Linked DNA regions of Saccharomyces cerevisiae S288C. Changing the gene in region 1 together with any one later gene gives a genetic interaction. Each region holds a gene or a part of one and is shown in the gene's direction. Other genes may lie near its edges. The genes, in order: MGP12 and PRM15.

Region 1 (2,744 bases):
ATGAGAAGCTTATGTTTATCGAACAACCTTCCCTTGTAGCATACTGATATAGGACCCCTTCAATCGAAGTTGATAATAAGCGCATTACTCTTCATTGAAATTTTTCTTCACGTATATCGCGCTGTTAAAGGAGAGGGCCGCATGCATGTAATACTTGCTATTCTTGAGTCAGAAGCCCACACTAAGTGACCTGTGAAATCAAGTTGCTGCTTCAAGATATCGTCCTGTACTGGAAAAAAATACTAGTAGGAATTGCGTGAAGTACTATATAAACTTTTCTTAGATGTAGCTTATTTAACGACACCTGAGGGGGGCATTTAGTATTCTAACTCACCCGCAACGTGAGGCCAAAACGATTCTGCAAATCGCTTCTGCTCCATCGACTCACATCCACCTCTAATAGCCAAGTAACATCTTCTGTCTAATGGAATGTTCCATTCTCCACAATTTCCGCCAACCATTATTCCTCCTGCTTCCTCAAGAATACACCAACCGGCACAAACATCCCAAGCCCAGCAGCCACCTTCCCAATAAGCATCAAGCATGCCGCTCGCTACGTAGCATATGTTCATGGCAGCACTTCCTGCACTTCTGAACCCGTGAACAAAGGCGCCGGACTCACTTAGTAAGTTTTTATAAGTATTCATTTTCTTATCAAAGTTTCCTTGGGAACCTTCAGTTCTTTCCGAACCTCCTTCTAAAGCAATTAAGGATTTTTGCAAAATCAATGGCCTTTTTGAAACCTTTATCTCCTGATCATTTAAGAAAGCTCCATTGCCTTTGGAAGCATGGAATAGTTGGTTTAAGTGAGGATTGAAAACCACACCAACAACCGGCTTCCCCATTTCAGCTAAACCTAGAGATGTACAACTATAGGGGTAACCGTGAATAAAATTAGTAGTACCATCGATGGGATCAACAATAAATGTAGGGCCGTTAGTTATTTTCGTGACACCTTTTACATAAGTTTCTTCTCCGATAAATTTGAAACTGGGATACTTGGCCGTTAAATTTTCCTTGATTATAGATTCAATTTGTTTGTCTAAAGCAGTTACCAAATCTACGCCATTTGCTTTATCATCATATGAACAAAAGTTTGTTCCTGCGTGCGATTTTACGAGAGGTCCTATTTTACTCCTAAGTAATTCAATAAATGTGTTCTCCACTTCCTCTAGTACTTGCCTCGTTAATACCATCGCTTCAATCTAAGTTTACTTTACAAGGGCTTGTGGAGCTTCAACTTCACTTATTCTCTATATTGTTTTCACGATTTTTTCTCCCCACGATTTCATATGTAATGAAGCAGGGTGCTTCACGGCGTTATCACTCGGAACACTGACGTTCTTTATTAAGAATTACCGTTTTAAGGGAAATAATAAGAGGTCACTTAATATGACTGTGAGAATCCATTTTTGTAGTTTTTTAGTTACTGGCTTTGGAATGTCAATATAACTGTGATTGACTTCCCTTTTTTTCGCTTTATGGGTCTATGATGTGCGCAAGTTGTTACCTTTCCGTAGAGAGTTCGGAGTTGATGCATTGTAAAGTTTCGTTTAATTCATAACAGAAATTCGTAATTATTCAGTAAGACATAAAACTTAAGGAACATATCACCATGTTGAGAGCGTTCCGCTGTTCTATACATACTTCGAGGGTATTGTTACATGATGCTGGAGTGAAATTAACTTTCTTCTCAAAGCCTAATTGTGGGTTATGCGATCAAGCAAAGGAAGTGATAGATGATGTATTTGAAAGAAAGGAATTTCATAATAAAGCAGTTTCACTAGAGATAGTCAACATAACTGACCGAAGAAACGCAAAATGGTGGAAGGAATATTGCTTCGACATACCAGTACTTCATATTGAGAAAGTTGGTGATCCTAAGTCGTGCACCAAGATCCTGCACTTTCTTGAAGAAGACGATATCAGTGATAAAATAAGGAGAATGCAATCTAGATGACCTCTTTTGTTTTTACTAGAGTTACAACACTGTAAATATTTATAAGCTATGAATAAGTATATACCTCAAAAAACTATATCTACGCTAATTTTACTATGCATACTTCTTACGCAGGGAACAAAATGAAATGTATTCGCACAAAACGATTTCAAATTTTCCATTATCCTCTATTTCCTTCTCCTTTTCTTGCTTATTTTTAATGACTGGTCTTCGTCTTCTACTAGTAGTAATTTTTTTCTTGAAGAAATTGGAGGTTTCATGCAATTTGAACCCTTCTTGATTTTTCCTCTCACTGGTTTAATTTGGATTGGGGAAGGGTTGGTTAACTCTAGGTCGTCATTTGATGATGAAGAAAGATCGAACTCATCGTTAAATTTGGATGTTTCTTTGGATGAATTAATTCTTGACTTACTTATATGATCCACCTTAGGACACTTTTTCATAGGAGAGTGAATGGCAGCAGAGTTATTAGGAAATAAGTTGGACGTCGTAGCATTTTTTTTGGGTGAATCTGATGGTTTAGTAAAATTTTGTGTACCTTTTTTACTAGGCTCGTTCCGTTTATGGTTTTTTATCTCTTCTAGCTCTTTAATCTTCTGTTCTAATTCCCTCTTTTGCGATTGCACCTTTTGCTGTAAATTTTTGGTGACTTCTTCCAAACTTTCGAGGTTATCTTGAAGTTCTAACTTTTCAGCTGTTATATCTTGCTTCTCCGATTTCAGAACTATCACTTGCTGTTTTAGGGTTTTTACATCGCTTAGTGATTCTTCAACACCAGTTTCCT
Region 2 (4,562 bases), on another chromosome or scaffold:
GACATCGTGTATGGCGGGCTATGTACTCAATGCGGGAAAGAAGTTTCTGCAGATGCCTTCGATGGTGTACCACTAGACGTTGTCGGGGACGTGGATTTACAGATTAGCGAGACAGAAGCCATTAGAACAGGCAAGGCATTGAAGGAGCATTTGCGACGGGATAAGAAACTTATCTTAGTGGTGGATTTAGATCAAACCATCATCCATTGTGGCGTGGACCCTACGATTGCAGAGTGGAAGAACGACCCCAATAATCCGAATTTTGAAACATTAAGAGACGTCAAGAGCTTTACGTTGGATGAGGAGTTAGTACTCCCACTTATGTACATGAATGACGATGGTTCTATGCTGAGACCGCCTCCCGTAAGAAAATGTTGGTACTACGTGAAGGTAAGGCCCGGTTTAAAGGAATTTTTCGCTAAAGTGGCGCCTCTTTTTGAAATGCATATCTACACAATGGCTACAAGGGCTTATGCCTTGCAAATTGCCAAAATCGTGGACCCTACGGGCGAATTGTTTGGCGATAGAATTCTGTCGCGTGATGAAAATGGGTCTCTAACAACTAAATCATTAGCTAAACTTTTCCCCACTGACCAGTCAATGGTTGTAGTTATTGACGACAGAGGTGATGTTTGGAATTGGTGTCCAAACTTGATCAAAGTTGTTCCTTATAACTTCTTCGTTGGTGTAGGTGACATTAATTCTAATTTCTTGCCCAAACAATCTACAGGAATGCTACAACTAGGGAGGAAGACAAGACAGAAGAGCCAAGAATCTCAGGAACTGCTGACGGATATTATGGATAACGAAAAAAAACTACAAGAAAAGATAGATAAAGAAGTTAAACGCCAAGAAGAAAAATTGAACCATCAACTGGCGACTGCTGAGGAGCCTCCTGCGAACGAATCCAAAGAAGAGTTGACCAAGAAACTAGAATATTCAGCATCTTTAGAAGTCCAACAACAAAATCGACCCTTGGCCAAACTACAAAAACACCTGCATGATCAAAAACTACTAGTTGATGACGATGATGAACTATACTACTTAATGGGTACGCTATCAAACATTCACAAAACTTATTATGATATGCTCTCACAACAAAATGAGCCAGAACCAAATCTGATGGAAATCATACCAAGTTTGAAGCAAAAAGTCTTCCAAAATTGCTATTTTGTTTTTTCAGGATTAATACCCCTCGGGACCGATATTCAAAGGTCGGACATAGTGATATGGACGAGTACATTTGGTGCCACTTCCACTCCAGATATAGATTACCTGACGACACATTTAATCACCAAGAACCCTAGCACTTATAAAGCGCGTCTAGCGAAAAAGTTCAACCCACAGATTAAAATTGTTCACCCAGATTGGATATTTGAGTGTTTGGTAAATTGGAAAAAGGTGGATGAAAAACCCTACACGTTAATCGTGGACAGCCCCATCTCCGACGAGGAATTACAAAACTTTCAAACACAATTACAAAAAAGACAAGAATATCTGGAGGAGACCCAGGAACAACAGCATATGTTGACATCACAAGAAAATCTAAATTTATTCGCTGCTGGTACTTCATGGTTAAACAATGACGACGATGAAGATATTCCGGACACAGCTAGCGACGACGACGAAGATGACGACCACGACGACGAAAGTGATGACGAAAACAACTCGGAAGGCATTGACAGAAAGAGGAGCATCGAGGACAATCATGATGATACATCACAAAAGAAGACCAAGGCGGAACCTTCTCAAGATGGTCCTGTACAACATAAAGGAGAAGGGGATGACAACGAAGACAGCGATTCGCAGTTGGAGGAAGAGTTGATGGATATGCTGGATGATTAGCAGCTCAGATGCCGTATCTTTCCACACATTTTCCTCATTGGTCTTTGTACCTATAATTGTTCATATTATATATACGTTTGTAACAAATCGATAAATAGCAACAATATTTTTGCTTATTTTGATATCCTGAAATCCTTTTTTTTTTTTTTTTTTTTTTTTTTTTTTTTTTGATTTCATTTCGTTTTTTTTTTTTGAACATTATATATTGTATTGTTTTCTCCCTGTAGCGAGAACTAATTGATTCTTTCTCCTTTCCCCCTAAATACTCAACAGTACTCTCGAGCCATTAGCTGCTGCAATTTCAAAAAATGTTGCAAGGAATTTTAGAAACCGTACCATCTGACTTGAAAGATCCGATATCATTATGGTTTAAGCAAGACCGCAACCCAAAAACTATAGAAGAGGTCACCGCTCTCTGCAAAAAATCCGACTGGAATGAGTTACACAAAAGATTTGATTCTAGAATTCAGTTTGGCACTGCTGGTTTAAGATCGCAAATGCAAGCTGGCTTTAGCAGGATGAATACTTTAGTAGTCATACAAGCGTCTCAGGGATTGGCAACTTATGTAAGACAACAGTTTCCAGACAATTTGGTAGCTGTTGTGGGACACGATCATAGATTCCATTCTAAGGAGTTCGCTAGAGCTACTGCTGCTGCATTTCTTTTAAAAGGATTTAAGGTACATTATTTGAATCCTGACCACGAATTTGTTCATACCCCTTTAGTTCCCTTTGCAGTGGATAAGCTAAAGGCCTCCGTTGGCGTAATGATAACAGCAAGTCACAACCCAAAAATGGATAATGGATATAAAGTATACTATTCCAATGGATGCCAAATCATTCCACCTCACGATCATGCCATCTCTGATTCCATTGACGCAAATTTAGAACCATGGGCCAATGTGTGGGATTTCGACGATGTTCTAAATAAGGCTCTCAAACAAGGGAAATTGATGTATTCCAGAGAAGAAATGCTGAAGTTATATTTAGAGGAGGTTTCTAAAAATCTGGTAGAAATCAACCCATTAAAGCTTGAAGTAAAAGCCAAACCTTGGTTCGTTTACACTCCAATGCATGGGGTTGGATTTGACATTTTCAGCACCATCGTAAAAAAAACACTGTGCCTGGTAGAAGGTAAGGATTACCTATGTGTTCCTGAACAACAAAATCCAGATCCTTCTTTCCCAACTGTTGGATTTCCTAACCCTGAAGAAAAAGGTGCTTTAGACATTGGTATAAACTTGGCTGAAAAACATGACATTGACTTACTTGTTGCCAACGACCCTGACGCTGATAGATTCTCTGTTGCTGTTAAAGATATGCAGTCAGGCGAATGGCGACAACTAACAGGTAACGAAATCGGTTTTCTTTTTGCATTTTATGAATATCAGAAATATAAAAGTATGGACAAAGAATTTCAGCACGTTCATCCGTTGGCTATGTTAAATTCAACAGTGTCTTCACAAATGATAAAAAAAATGGCAGAAATAGAAGGGTTCCATTATGAGGATACATTAACAGGATTTAAGTGGATCGGAAATCGTGCCATACTCTTGGAAAAGAAAGGCTATTACGTTCCTTTTGGATTCGAGGAAGCAATAGGCTACATGTTTCCAGCAATGGAGCATGATAAGGATGGTATCAGTGCATCCATTGTCTTCTTGCAAGCCTACTGTAAGTGGAAAATAGACCACAATTTGGACCCGCTAAATGTCTTAGAAAATGGCTTCAAAAAATATGGCGTGTTCAAAGAGTACAATGGCTATTATGTCGTTCCAAATCCAACTGTTACAAAAGATATATTTGACTACATCAGGAATGTCTACACTCCTGAGGGCGCGTCATATCCTTCATCTATTGGTGAAGAAATCGAAGTACTTTACTATCGAGATTTAACCACTGGTTACCAATCGGATACCATAAATCATAAACCTACTCTACCCGTCGATCCTACATCACAAATGATAACAGTATCTGCTAGACCAAGTAACGGTAGTGAGAATGAGCATATCCGCTTCACTATTCGCGGGTCCGGAACAGAACCAAAACTTAAAGTATATATTGAAGCTTGCGCAAATGAAGAACAAAGAGCCTCTTTCTTGGCGAAATTGACTTGGAATGTGCTGAGACGTGAATGGTTTAGACCAGATGAAATGAATATAGTTACAAAATTTTGATACTATTTTAACCTATACATTAAGACCAAGCGACTTAAAGAATGCCATTATATTTGTTGTTTGTACCTACACTTATATCAATATACATTTAACTAGTTTATGCCTCCAAACTTCTATCTTCAGATTTTCTGTGTCGATTCCAAAGGTTTTCAAGCATGTAAGTCACACTAATCACAACACCAAGAGAAGCGAGCCCAACTCCCAGATATACAGCTGCTCGGTAACCTTTCAACAAATCATTGCCGCTTTTATTAATTTGGTGTTCAACAGTGCCTCCCATACCTAAACATAGAGACGCTGAATAATTAATAACGGTGTTTACTAATGATCCAGCCATACCTTGATACTGCATTGGAAGCCCGTCACTCAATATAATGGATGATGCCGGGAAGGACAGGTCCATACCAAAACATAAGATAGCCTGCATCGCAAAGTTCAACTTCCAATAGCTTTGTTCCACTGGCAATACACTAAACATTATGGAACCAGCGTCAAATGCCATTAGTGAAAAACATAGTAGTAGAGCTGGTCCTAATCTCT

The links.
Region 2: mutations in MGP12 (region 1) and PRM15 together harm fitness more than expected from each alone (negative genetic interaction), as found in Saccharomyces cerevisiae (one large-scale study listed by BioGRID).

What each region holds. Positions count from the first base shown.
Region 1 is NC_001136.10:1,034,447-1,037,190, reverse strand, and holds MGP12 (Mgp12p), read left to right. Parts: upstream 1-1,615; coding exon 1,616-1,960; downstream 1,961-2,744. Other genes in the region: inositol monophosphate 1-phosphatase INM2, read right to left, coding at 318-1,196; ZIP1 (Zip1p), read right to left, coding at 2,128-2,744.
Region 2 is NC_001145.3:820,610-825,171, forward strand, and holds PRM15 (phosphoribomutase PRM15), read left to right. Parts: upstream 1-2,153; coding exon 2,154-4,022; downstream 4,023-4,562. Other genes in the region: FCP1 (protein serine/threonine phosphatase), read left to right, coding at 1-1,845; ATR2 (Atr2p), read right to left, coding at 4,120-4,562. UniProt on the Saccharomyces cerevisiae protein: Major phosphoribomutase that converts ribose 1-phosphate to ribose 5-phosphate. Involved in ribose salvage via the pentose phosphate pathway.